Sus scrofa: one gene and its partners. The main gene of each other region encodes a partner of the protein of the gene in region 3 in a complex. Links are inferred from orthologs where the notes say so. Each region holds a gene or a part of one and is shown on either strand. Other genes may lie near its edges.

Evidence for each region. The genes of interacting proteins can lie anywhere in the genome.
Region 1: cytochrome c oxidase assembly factor 1 homolog (region 3) and TIMM21 share a complex: the UniProt entries of both Homo sapiens proteins name them as parts of the MITRAC (mitochondrial translation regulation assembly intermediate of cytochrome c oxidase complex) complex. The link is inferred for Sus scrofa from reciprocal best matches to the Homo sapiens genes COA1 and TIMM21.
Region 2: cytochrome c oxidase assembly factor 1 homolog (region 3) and TMEM186 share a complex: the UniProt entries of both Homo sapiens proteins name them as parts of the mitochondrial complex. The link is inferred for Sus scrofa from reciprocal best matches to the Homo sapiens genes COA1 and TMEM186.

What each region holds. Positions count from the first base shown.
Region 1 is NC_010443.5:149,852,491-149,858,489, forward strand, and holds the start of TIMM21 (mitochondrial import inner membrane translocase subunit Tim21), read right to left. Parts: upstream 3,414-5,999; 5' UTR 3,081-3,413; coding exon 2,783-3,080; intron 1-2,782. Other genes in the region: FBXO15 (F-box only protein 15), read left to right, coding at 4,051-4,178. UniProt on the Homo sapiens protein: Participates in the translocation of transit peptide-containing proteins across the mitochondrial inner membrane.
Region 2 is NC_010445.4:33,889,885-33,895,927, reverse strand, and holds TMEM186 (transmembrane protein 186), read right to left. Parts: upstream 3,414-6,043; 5' UTR 3,282-3,413; coding exon 3,279-3,281; intron 3,249-3,278; exon of another isoform or gene 2,620-3,248; intron 2,260-2,619; coding exon 1,624-2,259; 3' UTR 401-1,623; downstream 1-400. Other genes in the region: PMM2 (phosphomannomutase 2), read left to right, coding at 3,546-3,611. UniProt on the Homo sapiens protein: As part of the MCIA complex, required for efficient assembly of the mitochondrial complex I.
Region 3 is NC_010460.4:51,218,708-51,224,561, forward strand, and holds the start of cytochrome c oxidase assembly factor 1 homolog, read left to right. Parts: upstream 1-2,051; 5' UTR 2,052-2,272; intron 2,273-5,854. UniProt on the Homo sapiens protein: Component of the MITRAC (mitochondrial translation regulation assembly intermediate of cytochrome c oxidase complex) complex, that regulates cytochrome c oxidase assembly.

The sequences.
Region 1 (5,999 bases), on a different chromosome or scaffold from region 3:
GATCCACACAGTCACTGAGCAAGGCTCATGTCATGGCGAGGCTGCCCTCCCAGCACAGTCACTGCTGCCTCACTTAGACTTTCCGGGAGGCCTCTTCCCCATTAATTCAACCACAAATGTCTACTGTATATATTCTATGTAAAGCCCACCATCCACACATTTTTAAAGCTTAAGTGTTATTTCATAGTTGTCTTCAGTGGAAGCTGCTCTTTGCCTACTTCCTCTCCTTGACCCTTTCAGACTCTACACTTTCATACAAAACCCTTGTGCCATCTGTCTCTGCAATTAGGGGTGCTATGGTGAGCACCCACATGCTCCTCTCAGGACCGAGGCTCTCATTCCCCCAGCATGGGGAGTCCCTCGGGCTGCTGGCTGGCTGACGGAATTCCTGCACCTGAAGAGAGCCTGCTCACCAAAGCCCTGGCGCTGCCCATATCCAGTGCTTGGCTGGTGTGGATGCCCCCCACCCCTGGAGATGAGGACTTCAAGGGCCAGCCCAGTTCCTGAGCTCCTGCAGAAACAGCTGAGGCAAACACCCTGTGCTTCAGCTTCTCCTTCTGCCCAGTCCTGCCTCCCTCGCCCTCACAGAGGCATTCTGAAAACACGCCCTCAAACCTCCCGCTGACGAACTGTACAGAGTTGGCTTCCTTGGAACTCGCCCTACGGTGGGGCCTGCAGGAGTGGTCCTGGGAAGGTGCTCCAAATTGGGATTTTGGAGCTGCATCACTGGCTGCCGGCTGGCCTTGAGGACTCCACCCCTGGTGGCAAGCAGTGATAGCACAACTGTCTCGCCTCTCACAGATGACCTGGGAAACTGGTGGGAGGGAATGCCCTAGTGGGTGTCATATTTTGGGAATTTAGGAGAAATAAGCAATTGGAAGGGCTCAGATTGGATGGCTGTAGTTGAGGGCCACCAATACACTGAAGAAAGAAGACAAAGGTAACTGATCACTAATGAAGGTCAAGTGTAAAAGGCAGAGGCCTCCTTGAGAGCAAAACCAGAGACTCATTCGTTGCACCCAGAGAGCAGAAAACACTGAGGGCAAGGCCCAGGCTAAAGAGTAGCAGAGAGGCTGGACTTTCAATCCCACCAGCTTTCCCACACCGAGGCCAGGGTCATGACTTGGGAAGGAACCTGAAGCTTGGCAGTGGTGTATCGAGGCTGATGCATCTCAAATCTTGAATCTGCAGATTCTCCTGAACCCTCCAGTGTGAAGCAGCAGCTCTCACCTCCCAGGGAAAGGCTAGCTCTTCCTCTTCTTTGAAGACCTGGTTGGGGCTTCCATCTAGCAAGACCTATGCTCTAGGCAGGCTGCAACATAACTAGGGGAAGGAGGACATGAGCCACTCCTAAACAGGCTGGAGGCTCCACCAGCAGAGCCAGGAGACACAGAATGAAGGGCATCATGAAGGGGCAAAGAATACAGAACGGGAAAAGTGAGACTTGATCAATAAGGGAGCACGCTCCTCAGATTAGAAACTAAAGTCTGACAAGCGGGCTGGGAGCAGATGCACAGCTAGGCTCGCTCTTAGAAAGATGGAGAGAGCATGGTCTACCTTAAGTGAAGCAAAAATAACAGAACTGCCATGGAAAACTGTGTAGGAAATGATCAAAAGTCACAGAGAGTGGGTCTGCAAGAGAGGACAGAGGCAGAAACCCACCAGCTGACTGTCATGTAGAAGGGTCTGGAAACCACCGTTCACATTGTCACAGAACAAGCTGTCCTGAAAGCCATGGGGGCAGCTATGGTAGTGAAGCCAGGGGGAAGCAACCATCACAATGAATGGCTTGGTTTCTCGACCTGAGTCAGTCTTCAGACCTGGAATCCATTTACCCAAGGGAGGCCAACCTCTATCAGGGGGCACCTGAGTAACTATATATGATTCCCCTGGCCCTTCATCAGAGACCTATGCCATTAACTGCATGCTGGGAAAGGGGACTACCCAAACATTTCAAGGTCTGCCAGACAGAGTCTGAGCTGACATCAACCCTAAAGAGTCATTATGGTGGCAATGTGATAAAGAGCCTGGCCTGGAAGAGGTTCATAGCTGGGTCCACCGCCTTCTCTGATAGTCATTTCCCTGATTTCCAATGTAGAAATGGAATGGATATGCGTGGTAATTGGCAACAACAGGCCCTTCTTTACTTCCTTTGGAGGTGGGTTAAGAGCTACTATAATGGGAAAAATCCAATGGAAGCCTCTGAAACTGCCTCCCACTGACCAAGATAGTAAATCAAAAACAGTATCACATCTAAGAGAGAATGGCAGAGACAGTGTTATCAAAGACTAAAGACACAGGGGTGGTTGTTTTAAAAAGCACTGGCCTGGATATTAGAAAACTGAGGATAAGGAAGACTCACATTCAATTTTGAATTGTGTGAAATTGGGCAAATATGCTTCGTACATACTAATGAATACTAACGTCTGAAAGAGTAAATGTGAGACTCAAATGAGATGAAATAACATCTGGGAAATGTACTTATCTATTGTAAAGTATTAAACAACGGTTAAGTTTTACATAGTTCTTTCCACAAGTAAAAGTTGAGAAAAAATTTACAGACACAATTCAACTAAGTTTTATCAAAATCAACTTTCATATTTCAGTTCGAATTTGTGAAAAGACCTGTAGGCTCATATGCTCTAATTCTTAACTGTGTAATGGTTCTACCTTTTAATTTGTGTAAGCTGTTTATGCTCAGCACTGAACTTGTGTAGAAGGGCAGTAGCAGCTCTCGTCACGTTGGCTGAAAGACTGATAGTTACAGGGAATTCCTTTTTACCTTTCTGTGACGTTGAGACGGCAGTATCCCCGCCCTGACTTCTGTGCACAGACACTTGTTTGTCGCTGTCCTCTTTCGCTCTCTGCGTGCTCTGTCCTTGCGTCCAGATGGTCTTCTGGGTGACTCCCCAAATACACCTAGGTCGTACCGTCTTCTGCTCTTGCAGAGCCCACCTCAAACTGGGCACAGTCTTCAAGCAAGCTTTGTTAAGTACAAAGTGTGGCAAAAACAACTGCTTCCCCGAGAAGCTGTGCAGCTTTCCCGTGCACCGTACAGCTCGTAGTAAGGTACAAATCATGTTCACAGAAAGCCGCTCCGCTGAGGGAAGATGCCAGCTAAGATGAGCAAATCTTCACTACCAACTCCACACCCGGCCAGAGGCGGACTTAAGTCCGCATTCACATCGGTAGTTCTGCACTGCGTGTCCGGCAAAAAAAAAAAAACAAGGAGCATAAATCAAGACAAAAAGTCTCCGTAAAGGAGCTGACGTCCACTTTCCCTTCTCTCCGGCCCTCTTTTTACTTGAATTAATGTGCTTTCATTACTTTCTATGCTGACATTCACATTGTCCCCGCCAGGCCTTTGCAAAGTAACCTAGGAAGCCCCTAAGAATCCTGGGAATTGTAGTTTGAGGGCAGCACCCCTCACAGAGTTGCTGCAAGGGCAGTGGCCTTAGGCCTACATCTCCCACAGTCCAAGGCTGCCTCCCAAGCTCCTCTGCGTGGCCGCCTGCGCACACACCGCACGTACTGGGCGCGACAGAAAGGCGAGACCATGTTGGGACGGTGGGCGGGGCTCCCTGCTCTGCGTAGCACAAAACGCACCTAGGAAGGTCAAGTTAGCAATTAGAAACTGCAAGTTCTTACAACCCTCTAAAGAGGGCTATGTAAACTGGGAAGTTCTCGGTGTGACTGTGGCTATGCCTTTCCTTAAGGCCAAGTGTCACAGCCTTTGTATTTGTTTCTCCAAGGAAATCAGACAGGAAGCAGCCGCAAAGTGCCAGAGTCAGCAAGGGGGAGGGGCAAGGGCGTAGCCGCCGTAAAGTCCAGGCGATACACTTGCTAGGCGTCAGGACTTCCAGCAGTTGCTAGAAACCGGGCCCCATACGTTCCTAGAACCACTCCGAGTGGAAAGGCGGTGTGGTTCTTGACCCCGCCCCTCCGTTGCGTACGCACGTCGGGGCGTGCGCTGGCGTCGAGTGGGCGTGACCCTGGGCGGTGCGACGGTAGGAAGGAGGAGGGCGCTGCTGGTGCTCCAGCTGGGTCTCCATGGCGACTGGACGCGGCCGGCTCCTGCAGCAGTACTGGCTCGGCCTCCTGGCTCGGCGCCCGCGGATTGGCGGCGACTTCTGGGCCCCCGGGAGCGCGGGAGAAGCCGCCAGGAGCGCGGGGTTCAGGTGACTCTCGGGGGCCGCGGGCAGGGTACTGCCGGCGGGGGTGTGAGCCCAGGGAGTCCCCCGTAAGGGAAGTTTCTTACTCCCCCGCCTCCCTTTCCTTTGATTTTCATTGGTTCTGCCCCGCTGCTTTTAGCGCGAGAAATGTCTGGAAGGCCGGCGGGAAAAAGTTTCTAAAGCTTGGGAGCTTGGGGCTACCCCAAATAAATTCAAGTAGTGGAGCTTCTCGGGAATATTTTCCCCTCAGTTCATTAAGTTAATGGGCCCTGCCCGAAGCTGGGGCGTGTAAGCCCGAGACCCCGAGCAGCCCTCGGGAGAGGCGCAGCGTTGATGCGCTCCACCTGCGGAGGTAGGTGCGAGCGGCCCCCTCTACGGAACGTGTTCCCGAAGTTGCTTCCTTATTCTGGCACCAGGAATCACATTTTGTCTTTTTCTTGACTTTATATCCTAGAGAAGTAGAATATACTCTTAAAAATGTTTTTTCTCCTGAGCGCGGTTTGTGAATGGAAGGCTCAACCCCTAACCAGATAACTCTTTGTTAGGCAGGTTGGTCTGGGAGCTGCACTTCCGACCTCAAGGCCAGTCTGCTTTCCAAAGCAAACCTAGGAGGGTTGCTTTCTAGACAGACACCCGTTAGTGCTCAGCCCCTAGTCCTTTTCTGCCGTTTTCCTGCCCAGGCGCTAGGGCGGGGCGTATGGTATCAAGTTCTGGTGTCTGGGGGGCTCATCTCTGCTCCATTTCTTACGGAGTACCCTGGAATTGAAGAGTGCCCCTCTTCTACAATGAGAAAAGGCAGCTTTGAAGGGTGAGATGAGGAAGGAACAGGGGACAGGAGGAAGCAGTTGCTTTCCAAAAGGAACTTGGCAGCTTAACTCCAAGGTTAATGGCTTACTTCACAAAGTGAGAGACCCAGTTTGTCAAAAGCATCTGAATACTATTGTGATACCGTATTAAATCCCTCTTTTATCGTGAGCTGTTCTTAGCTCTGCACCCATCATTCCAGTTAGATTAGCAGGTGGAGGGTTAATGCTAAAGACCGTTTGCATTCTTTTTTTTTTTTTTGTCTTTTTAGGGCTGCACCTGGGGCATATGGAAGTGCCCAGGCTGGGGGTTTAATTGAAACTGTAGCTGATGGCCTACACCACAGCCACAGCAACGCTGGATCCGAGCTGGGTCTGTGACCTACACCTCAACTCACAGCAACACCAGATCCTTAACCCGCTGAGCAAGGCCAGGTATCAAGCCTGTGTCCTCATGGATACTAGTCAGATTCATTTCCTCTGTGCCATGACCAGAGTTTACCGTTTTCATTCTTGAGCACTGCCTTTTTGGTTGTAAGTCTTCTCAATTTGTGGACACAAAAAGTCACACATATTATGCCTTCTAATAAACCAAATATCTATGTTTAAGCATAAAAAAGTATTCTGTTACTTATCAGCTCAACTACTTAAGTTATATATTCCACCGGAATCTCCAGAACTATGTCTTACATTCATCCTAGGACCTGTTACCCCACTTACTCAGGTTTCAGAAGCAGTCCTGTCCCTTAGTAACACAGTAATAGTCAATTCTTAACAACAGCTATAATGTTAGACAAATCACAAGCCTTATGACAAAATGGTGACAATGCCTGCAAAATTTCTATTATGTAGGAGAGAGAGACTGGAATTTAAAATAGGAAGCTTGAACTTTAAATCAATTTGCCACTGCTACTAAAATTAGTTTTTATATATAATGCTGTTAGTGGGAAGCAGAATGATTGTTATATGATGAATCTTCTATTACTTTGTAAGTTGAGTGAACTTTTTGTTGAAATGGTGTAAT
Region 2 (6,043 bases), on a different chromosome or scaffold from region 3:
TCTGATGGCCTAGCGGGTTGAGGCTCCTGCGTTCTCACCGCTGTGGCTCTTGTTGCTGCTGTGCGGCGTAGGTTCAATCCCTGGCCCAGGAATTCCCACATACTGCCTGTGTGGCAAAAAAGAAAAAAAAAAAAAGAAAGGAATGGAGCTCTGGCACATGCTACAACATGGATGAACCCTGAAAAATTATGCCACGTGAAAGAAGCCAGACACAACATGCCACCTTAGTATATGATTCCGTTTATATGAAATGTCCAGAATAGGCAAATCCATAGAGTCAGAAAGCAGATTTGTGGCTGCCGGGACTGGAAAAGAGGGGAGCTGGGGAGTTACAGTTTAATGTGTACCACGTTTCTGGTTGGAATTGTGAACAAGTTCTGGAAATGAAGAGTTGTGACGGTTGAACAACACTGTAAATGTATTTTTTAATTTTTAATTTTTTTAAATTTCTTTTGCCATTTCTTGGGCTGCTCCTGCGGCATATGGAGCTTCCCAGGCTAGGGGTCGAATCGGAGCTGTAGCCGCCGGCCTACACCAGAGCCACGGCAGTTTGGGATCCGAGCCGAGTCTGCGACCTACACCACAGCTCACGGCAACGCCAGATCCTTAACCCACTGAGCGAGGCCAGGGATCGAACACGAAACCTCATGGTTCCTAGTGGGATTCGTTAACCACTGCACCACGACGGGAACTCCCTGTAAATGTACTTAATATCACTTATTGTACACTTTGAAATGGTTGAAAGGATACATTTATGTTTGTTTTACTACAGTTCTTAAAAAAGACTAGAAGGCCACAAAACAAATCCTAGTGATTTTTGACTTTTCAGTGGCAGAATTATAAAGATCATGACTTGCCCTTTGTTACAGATTATGTAGTAAACATATTACTAATTACCAGGGGCACTGCATATAGCTAGCTTTAGTTTATAAAGTACGGCTCCAGCATATCACTCATCTGACTTTATCACGTTGCAGAGCCTGCCCATGTGAGAGCCCCTAGACCTCTGGATGTGAACTTGCTTGGAGGACACCCCCACCCCAGACCCTGTGCCCTGAGGGGCTGGCGCCAAGGACCCACCTCCAGGCTTCATCCCAGTCCCTTCGGATCTGGGGCCACCAGGGGGCGCAGCACAGGCATAGAAGCCTTTTGCAGCACTAGCAACTCTGCACTAAGTGATATCGTTTATTTTCACACCCATCCCAGGAGACAGGATTTTTCCACTTTACAAAATGTGAGAACAATCTGAGAGACTTGATAACCCGCCTCAGGACAGGGATTTGAGAATGGAGGGACCCAGGTCTTCTGACACACCCCCACCTCTCTGTCTTTGATTTCCCAGCAGTGCACTGTTGGAACGAGCCTGGCATAGCTTCCTCCAAGATCTGGCTCTTAACAGAAACTTCTGGCCGTTGTCAATGTCATACATAAGTGCAGTTAAGAATTTGCACTCAGGGCCTCTTTCCTAAACCTGGTTGCTAGCTTCTACCTTGTGAATTTCTCAATTCCAGAAGACAAGTCCCTGGGGTCCTGACAGTTTCCAGCTGCCTGACTTCCCCACTTCAGCCTCACCCTTCCCTGAGCCTTCCTACGGGAGACCCAGGCGGCCTGGCTCCCAGTCCTTCACTTGAGTGAGTCCAGCGCCCCAAACACCTGCATGAAACGCTCCCGGTCCAGGATGCGTCCGTAGCGTAGGGTGAGATAGAAGGTCTGTTTCCCACTGTACTGCCGGATCCGCACAAACAGCTCCTGAGGCCGATCGTGGCTTTCTGTCATGGGGACCACGTCGGCCACGGGGCAGTACGTGTCCTGTCGCCGGCCCCAGAAGGTCAGGTGGGCCACCCGCAGCACCGTGCCTGATTCATTCACATAGAGGATGCCCACCAGCCTCCGGAAGAAATGGCTCATCCAGCACAACATGGCCAGCGCGAAGCTGGCAACTGCGCCTGCCAGGCACAGGGAGTTGAAGGTCATGAGGCCCTGGGAGTACCAGTAGATGCCAGGCGGCAGGGCCACCACTGTCAACGCTGTCTGTGCCACCTTCAGCTGAGAGAGGTACCCGAAGACCCTGATGGCATCAAACCGGTACACCATCTGAAATTTCTCAGTCTCTGTGCCCAGCGGGTTCTTCTTGGATGGCAGAGGCCTGCTCCCCGCCCACCTCCTAGGATCCTGCCCACTGCAGCGCCACAGCCTGTGGAAAGGCCTTCCCCATGCAGCCTGCCTTGGTGACCACAGCACAGCTCGGAGCAGGGCAGCCTGGAAAGGAGACAGGGAGACCATTTCTCTCTGGAACTCAGCCAAGCTAATCACACAAGGACCACATGCAAAACATCTGCTACAGAGGATCCTGCCAGCCTGGTGAGGTCAGCATGATTGCCAGAGATGGAAAGAAAGCTGAAATCAGAGGCTTTACCTCTACCTCACGTGATAGTCAGGGAAGCTGTGTGCTAAAGGAACCACTGCTTCTACTTTACCACTGAGGAAACTAAGCCCAGAGAAGGTGAGAAATTTACCCAAAGACACACAGTCAGGGAGTAGGGCAGTCTAACTTTCAAACCCAACCTCTTTCCTCCAGGCAGCTCAAGTAGGCGCAGGCTTCATTCATTCAGCACATACCCAAGGAGGGCCGGTTCTGGCTGGATACCGGATCCACGGCCTGTGTGAACACTTCCTCAAGCAGGAAACTAAATCAGTGTCCCAGTGGGGAACAAATCCGCTAGCTAATCATCATAATAACTGTAGAATTCTCGGTTAGGTTAAAAGCGTCATCTTGGGGGCAGAACGTAAACGCTGTTTTCTTGGCCTGGATTGAGGGAAGGGATAGAATGGAGGAGGAAGGGATGGAGGCGTCAACTCATAGCACAAGGGTTTTATTAGATGCACAGTTCTACACCTTGAATATTGCACCGAAAGGTGCTTTGAGCTTTGAAGCCAGTTTTGGGTTCCAACCCTGGCTCCTACAGTCACCGGCTGTGGATCGTTGGGCAAATTACTCCACCTCTCTGGGCCCTGGTTTCTCTATCAAAGTGGGTATCCGTAACATACTGAAGAAGGTAACAGTTTTAAAGCCTTTAAATGCAGTAATGCACGGTGAATGCTAAATTTTAGTTGGCCCACGTGACCTAGGGGGCATAGGACGGCGGGGAACCCACGTCGGAGGTCCCTCCTCCGGATTCTCCGAATCAGAACCTAAGGCGTCCGCAGGCCTGCCCGGGGCCTGACTCCGACCCCCAAAGCACGACCCCTCCCTTTCTTGCCACCAATTGCCTTCTTACCATGGCCCCGCAGCCTGCAGCTGGAAGCGAGTCCCTCGCGTTCCGGGAATCTCCGAGAACGTGTCCTCCGCCCTAATGGGACAGCGTGGGGGCGCGCTGCATTCTGGGATCTGTAGTCCAGCCAGCAAAGCCGACGCTAGTCTCGGGCACTGCGGGAGGGGAATTCTCTTCCCGGCGTGCCCTGCGGCACGGGGGCCGGACCCGGAAGTTCCGGGCCGGGTGCCAGGTGCCAGTAAGTCGTGTAAGGTTTACGTGGAAACTGGGGTCATGGCTGCTCCCGGCCCAGCGCTCTGCCTCTTCGACGTGGACGGGACTCTGACCGCTCCCAGGCAGGTAAGCGGTGCAAAACTCCCTACGGCTCCCCGGTGGGTGTAATGACCGTCCAGGTAGGCGACCTGGGGCGGCTAAGGACCGCCTACCTCCCACGGAGGGGCTGAACTTTACTCTGGGTTCCTTGGAGTCATGAGACGAAAGCTCTCACCAGCTTTTCGAGACTTCAGGGTCCTCGGAGAGAAGGGACAGGCTAGGAACTCTTGAGAGCAAGGAACTTTGATTGGAAAACGCAGTTCTGGACTCTCATCAGCACCCCTGGGTTTGAATCCCGGATCAGCCGGGTTTACCAGCTTGTGTGCCCTCTTCAGACCTATCACCTGTGGTCTGCGCCTGTAGCCTGACATGAAAGACATAGGTTTCCAGGCCAAACAGACCTAGCAGAGTCTCTGCTTGACAGCTGTGTGACTTGAGCAAGTTAGTTAACCTCAGAGCCTCAGCATCTGTGGCTTTAAATGGGGCGTCTACCTGTTCCATGTGATGTTTGAATGAATGGATGAAATCATTTAAGTTCTTGAAAGTTATCTTACATACGGTAGACTGTGCTCAATAATACTCAGTAAGTATTCGCTGCCACCGCCACTCCCTGCTCTAGCCTTGCAGTGGAAGGGGGTGATAGAGGAAACCTAGATTGCCACAGGCTGCCTGCCGAGAACCTTCTTGGACTCCTGGAAACTTGCTTTCCATTTCCAGATTTTGCTGCCACGAGCACGGATAGGTCTCAAGATGAACCGTTGTGATGAAGCTTACCCTGACCTACCCTTTGCACACATTAGAAGAGCAGCCATTTGAACTTGAGACTGGCGCTAAATGGCCTCAGTCTCTCTCTACCCTGCTGCGTTTGGGTCGGGTGGTAGCACTGGTGTGCTCCAGAATTCCTCACTGAATGCGTGTGGCCTTAGATGTATCATTTTACTTTTCTGAGCCACAGGTGCTCTGTATGTACTGATGATGCACAGTTGTAAGTTCTCCACAGGCCCTTTTTGACTCCGTAATCAGTGCACACTTGCAAGTTGTTAAACACTCAGAGTGGCCTGGAGCCGAAGTCAGCAGTTCATTGTTTGCAAAGGGCCAGATAGCAAATACTTCCGTGTTTGCTGACCATATGGTCTGTAGTAACTATTCAACCTAAATCCAAAAGCAGCCATAGACCAGATGTGGACCTAGCACAGCTGTGTTCCAGTAAAACTTTATTACGGACACAAACTGCTGCTCTAATTGGCCCATTGGCCGGAGTGCTCTCTTAGGTTTACTTCCAAGCCTTTTGACATATCATTGGACCCTGTCGACCTTTCTCCCTCTTTGATCCCAGGTAGGATAGTTGTTATTTCATTTTAAATAAAGAAACTGAGACTCTGTGAAACGTGATCTGGATTTCCCACAGCAGATCTGGTGCAAGTCTCTGGGCCTCAGGGCGTTGTTGTTTGCTAAGATGGCCATTTTCTTCCACCGCCCAAAAGGTTGGAGGCTGTTCTGGTTATTACGCATGTGGTTCAGGACAGTAAAGAAGCATAAGGCATGGAATAACAACACCAAGCAACCTGCAATGTAGTCCCTTAAAGCATTTGAAACATGACATTCTTTGACATTCTTCTGTGAACATAAGTAATTTTTACGCTCAAAAAAAAGGTCTAATTTAGGAGTTTCCATTGTGGCTCAGTGGGTTAAGAACCTAGCTAGTATCCATGAGGTTGTGGGTGCGATCCCTGGCCTTGCTCAGTGGGTTAAGGATTTGGCATTGCCAAAAGCTGTGGTGTAGGTTGCAGATGCAGCTCAGATCCAGTGTTGCTATGGTTGTGGCACAGGCCGGCAGCTGCAGCTCTGAGTCACCCCCTTGCTCAGGCAGATGTGGCCATAAAAAGAAAAAAGGGAAAAAAAGTCTAATTTAAAAGAGAATTGTTTCTGGAGTTCCCGTGGCTCAATGGTTAACGAACCCCACTAGCATCCATGAGGACTCGGGTTCGATCCCTGGCTTCACTCAGTGGGTTAAGGATCTGGTGTCGCCATGAGCTGTGGTGGAGGTCGAAGAAACAGTTTGGATCCTGCATTGCTATGGCTGTGGCGTAGGCCAGCAGCTACAGCTCAGATTCGACCCCTAGCCTAGGAAGCTCCATATGCCACAGGTACGGCCCAAAAAAGACAAAAAGAGAGGGAATTGTTTTTGTGTGTGCCGAGTGCTCTAGGTAAAAAATGTTTTAGCAACAGTCCAGTAGACAGCCTTTCCCTTCCTGAATATACTCATTCTCAAACATTGAGAAGCACAAGGACAGTCTGGAAGCAATCAAATCGGTTATCTTTCTTGCAGCTGCTGAAACAGGGTGTGACCTAAACAGGTAAAATCTAATTAGAGTGGAATCCAGAGCTCTGCACATTTCAGTGTTTTAGTAGTAGAATTTTGCTGTCTTGCGTGTTTTCCTAAGAAATGCCATTGCATC
Region 3 (5,854 bases):
ATCTTTTTTTTTTGGTCTTTTTTTGTCTTTTTGTTGTTGTTGTTGTTGTTGCTATTTCTTGGGCCGCTTCCGCAGCATATGGAGGTTCCCAGGCTAGGGGTTGAATCGGAGCTGTAGCCACCGGCCTATGCTAGAGCCACAGCAATGCGGGATCCGAGCCGCGTCTGCAACCTACACCACAGCTCACGGCAACGCCGGATCGCCAACCCACTGAGCAAGGCCAGGGACCGAACCCGCAACCTCATGGCTCCTAGTCGGATTCGTTAACCACTGCGCCACGACGGGAACTCCAGGCATTGCAATCTTAATCTCTTTCTTTAGAAATTTAACAAGTCAAAAGTCAATGAAAATTACCCAAAGGATGCCTATTTTATTTCTTCATTTCCTCTAATGTATGAAACTATTCAAATATCCCTTATTGTTCAAGCAACTCAAAATCTGCTTAGTTTCCATTAATTCTTTAAAAAGAGAACTATTCTGGGGATTCATAATTTAATAACAGGCTACTTTGATAATGTGCTCATTTAACCAGTGGATTCCAAAGTGATGGAATGTATGTATGGCAACCTATTTGTTGCATGGGAAGAAAATGCATAAATTAGTATTTTTTATCTCACCTTTTAAAGGTTCTATTTCTTGCGGAAGTTTTTATAGCATGCATAATATGTATCTATATCATACATAGTATATGTTTATAGTCAAATTTTCTTTTCTGATGGGAATGTGATCAAGAGTTTGAAGACCATTGCTTTAGACTGCCCTTAATTAGTCTGGTTATGGAACACATCAAATCTAGGTGACTCACCTGAGACTCACTGCTTTGTGGAGGAAAGGTACTTGGGTGGTAGACTGGAACCTGGGACCCTTTACCAGAGTGCTTGCACCTGAACAAATAACTCTTCCAAGACCAGGAAGAAAACTATAAGGGACTAAAAATAATTGCATGCATGTGGCAGTTGGGGGCAATTATGAACCAAAAGATATAAAGAGGCCAAAGCCCAACTACTGGTTCAGGGGTGCCAGGACCAAAAGCAGTGGACTGCACATGATCCCTGCACAAAGTACCACCAAAGAAGTGGGCAGACCATTTCAGCTATGCCTCCTGCTCAATTCATGGACGGGGCCTCTCTTGTTAACTCATTTAAGGACTCAAACAGCGAGCAAGGGCACCTGTTTCTTATTTTCCTTATAGTCTTGCTTGGAATTTTTGGCCTCTTAGCAATTTCTGTTGATTAGAGTCTAGGGACTCAGGCGGGTAACACTGGGACTTCACGCTTAACGTTAAAAAAGTAATCATGCATAGCAGTGAGGACAATGGAATGGTCAAGATGAAAATAAGGTAACTGGCCTTTATTGAACACTTTAACAAAATGCCAGACTATTCTGAGTGGTTTATATTGTGATAAGAGGAGTTCCCGTTGGGGCTCAGTGGTAATGAACCCGACTAGTATCCATGAGGATGTGGGTTCCATCCTTGGCCTGGCTTAGTGGGTTATGGATCTGGCATTGCCTTGAGCTGTGGTGTCGGCCACAGAGGAGGCTTGGATCCGGCCTTGCTGTGGCTGTGGTGTAGACCGGCAGCTGCAGCTCCAGTTCCACCCCTAGCCTGGGGATGTCCATGTGTGTGGGCCTAAAAAGCAAAAAACAAAAACTATATATCCATCCTTATGAGAAATCTATTAAGTAAATTATTATTATCGTACTACTAAAATCCGAGAGCAAAGACCACTACATTTTTTTCTTAGCACTGCATTCCCTGGAGCACAGTAAGCAGTTCATAAATATTTGGTGAATTAAAAAAAATTTTTTTGCCAAATTTCTCCGCCAAATGGGGCAAGATGGACTTGAGGGCTAGAATGGGGCTCAGATGGCCCGTGGTTCTGCATCCTTGGATGTGAACCCAAGCGCCGATCCCTGCGAGGAGCAACGTGAACCAGAGGTTTAAATTTCCTCGGCAGCCACTGCGGGACTGAATGTGTGTTGAGGGCTCATGGCGCGCAGAAAACAAAAAGCGGGGATCTGAGGAGACAAGTCCCCTCCCGGCGCGGGTCCACCTGCAGAGACGCCAGGCACCAACCTGCACCTCGCTCGCCCGGGTCCGGGGTCCGCCAGCGGCGGGCTCGTCCCGACGCTCTAGCCCACGGGGAGGCGACGCCGGAAGTCTCGACTGCTCTCCGCGGGGCGGGGCCGCCCGCCGGCCTCCGCGCTCCCCCCGCCCCGCGGCTCCCACCGGACGTCCGGGAGGAGCCCTCCCGCTCTCCGCGGCGGCGTGGTAAGCCGGGAGGCTGGCACTGCCCGCGGAGGGAGTCGGGTCTCGGCCGCCCCAGGAGTGGGTGTTCCTGCAGCGCCGGGGGCCGCGACCGCGTCCCGGGTGGGCTGTGGCCAGGGGAGTCCCCTCCGGGGTCACCTCCGGGTTGTCACCGGCCTCGACCTCCCTCCGTTGCAAGGTTGGCACCTGCGGGGCCCTGGTGGGCTCAGCTCCTCGCGACGCTGTAAGGTGCCCCCTCCTGTGTGTCTCACCGTGGTCTTGCCCTGGGGTTTCGTTGAGCGTTCCCGGGAGCACATTTGTAAAGAAGTGGACCTGGGCCCTTTGTCCGTGGCCCCAGTTTGCAGCAGCCAGAGGAGGACCCTGCCTAGATGGCTGTAGAAAAGAGCTGTTTGGCTCAGTGGTCATAATACCTTTTGGCCCCGTCACGTTTGAGCCCCACACGGGGGCTGACCATAGAAGTGAGTTTCAGTGTAAGTGAGTTTCAGGTGTGTGTGTATGTATGTGTGTGTGAGAGAGAGGAATTTTAAAATTCACAAAGATTCTTATATTTTGAAATTTCCTTTTTTTTTTTTTTCCGTCTTCCCCTAATTCCTCCTCATTCTCACCTGAGTACTGCTCCGCTTCCCTTTTATTAAAAATAGCAACTCTTTACTTAGACTTTATACATTTAAAACACAGATCTGTGTTCATCCTCTGCTTAAAGTCTTACTGGCCTCCCCATTGATTGAGGATAATAGAAATTCCTTAGGCTGGCTTCAAGACCCTGCAGGGCCTTGCTTCTGATGAATTTTTCGGTCTTATCTCCTTTCACCAAACACACAAACACCCTGTATACCACCCCCGCCGCATGCCAACCTGCAGTCATTTCGTCTCTTTGGATATGACAGTTTTATAATGATTTACCCACATTTGGAAATTTATTTTTCTATTCAGTCAGAATTTATTGAACCCTGATATTGCCAGGCACTGTTTTAGGAGCTGAGGATATAATGGGAAAAAAAAACAAAAGCACACCCCAATCCAGTCTTTTTTTTTTTTTTTTTGCTTTTTCTTTTTTTGCTTTTTAGGGCCGAAAGTGTGGCATATGAAAGTTCCCAGACTAGGGGTTGAATCCAAGCTACAGCTGCCAGACTACGCCATAGCCACAGCAACACCATATCTGAGCTGCATCTGTGACTTGTACCACAGCTCCTGGCAATGCCAGATCCCGACCCACTGATCGAGGCCAAGGATCCAACCTGCATCCTCATGGATACTAGTCGGATTCATTTCTGCTGTGCCACAATGAGAACTCCCCAAGCTACAGTCTTTTTGGGGAAAAACAAAAAAACAAACCAGATTGAGATATAGGTCACATACCTAGAACTTTACAATATACTTTGGTTTTTCGTGCATTCACAAATTTGTACAAGCAATACCACGATCAATTTTGAAAAGTTTTTATCACCCCCAGAACAAGCCCTGTGCCCATTAGCAGTCTCATGATTTCCTCCTTACTCACTCCCACTCCTCCCCACTCTTAGCCCTAAGGGGCTACTGATCTACTGGGTGTATATATTTGCCTATTCTGAACATTTCATACAATGAAATTGTAAACTATGTGGTCTTTCTTGATTGTCTTTTTTCACTTTTAACAATCATGTTCATCCATGTTATAGCATGTATCAGCACTTCATTCCTTTTTTATTGCTAGGTAATATTTCATTGTATGGATATACCACCATTTATCCATTGGTCAGTTATGGACATTTGGGTTGTTCTGGCTGTTATGAATAACGCTGCTGTGAACATTTATGTGTACAAGTTTTTGTGTCATCATCATGATTTAATTTCTCTTGGTATATAGCTAAGGGAATTGCTGGGTCTCATGGTAACTCTGTGTTTAACATTTTAAGGAACTTCCAAACTGGTTTTTAAAGGAGCTGCACTGTTTTATGTTCCTGTCAGCAGTGTATGAATCTTCTCTGACTTTTTCAGGTCCTTGCCAATACTTGTCATTATCTGTTCTTTGGTTTTGTGTTTTCAGTTCTAGCCGTCCTGGTGGGTAGGAATTGGTATCTTGTTGCAATTTTGATTTGCATTTTCCTGGTGGTTAACGATGTTGAGCATCTTTTCATGTGCTGCTGGCCATTTCTGTGTCTTCTTTGGAGAAATGTCTGTTCATATCATTTGTCCATTTAAAAATTAGGCTGCTTGCTTTTTATCACTGAGTCGTAAGATTTCCATATATACTCTAGATACAAGTCCCTTATATATATGACAGTCTTGTGGAGTGGTTCCTTTAGATAGAAAGCACATGAGATTAATTACCACTCTTCTGGAGACATGTTAGAGGTCAGTGGGTAATTCAGAGTGAGTTGAACTAAGCTGCTGTGTGTGCAAGACCAGGCCCAGCAAAGTGTGAAGAACCTGTGAGCAGCATTTTAAGATTTGGAATGAAGCAGGGGGAAGAGTTTATATAATTTGTTAATTCTTGATTGAGTGTTGTCTTTGCCTTGTTGATCTGTAGGAGTTCTTCCTATAGAGGTATTAACCCTTTGTTAGATTTGGGGTGAATATTTGCAGTCTATCTGCCTGTTAAATTTACTTTGTATCTTTTACTAATGCTTTGCATTTTTGTGTCCTCAGGACTGTCAGTCTTCCTTTAAAAGGCTTCTCAGTGGTAGCTTGCTATCCTGTTCCTAAACCATGGGAGTTACAGAAACTGACAGTAGTTTCTTGGTTAAGGGGACATCTGAGTCCCTGGTACTATTTATTTAAAATTTAATTTTATTGGAGTATAGTTGATTACAATGTTGTATCTGGTATTATATTTAATTTTATAGGCAGGTCTTATTTTATTGTGCTTCATTCTGTTGTGCTTTGGCGTTAACTGTGTTTTTTACAGCTTGAAGGTCTGCGGCATCCCCGCACTGAGCAAGCCGTTTTTCCAAGAGCATCTGCTCACTTTGTGTCTCCGTGTTACGTGGTGGTGATTGTCACAATATTTTCACCTTTTTCATTATGAATCTCTTGTTCCGGCGGCCTGTCGTTAGTGATCCTTGGCATTGCTTTGGGGTGCCATGAACGACGGTGAACTTAACTGTGCCTCTGTCTTCTGCCTGCTCTACCCCCTGACCATTACCCTGTTTCTCTCCCTCTCCTCGGGCCTCCCTATCCCCCGAGATGACAGCGCTATGGAAATTAGGCTAGTTAATGATCCTCCAACGAGTCACAGGTTCAAGTGAAAGAACGTGTGGCCCTTCCTCCCTCTGAGTCTAACGCTTGGAGAGGGAAGCATGTCAGAAGCCAAGGCAGGCCGAAAGCACCAGATAGCCAAGCTGTGACGGCAAAGGAACCGCTCTTGCGGGAGGTTAAAAGTGCCCATCCAGCGAACACGCGAATGAAAAGAAAGTGCTCCGGCCTTACTGCTCCCGTGGAGAAAGTTGTAGCATCTGGGTAGAGCCACCACCACACTCCCTTAAGCCAGAGCCTAATGCAAAGCGAGGCCCTAACTCTCTTCAATTCTTTGCAAGCTAAGAGTGGTGAGGAAGCCGCAGAAGAAAAATTTGAAACCAGCAGAGGTTGGTTCATGAGGTTTAAGGA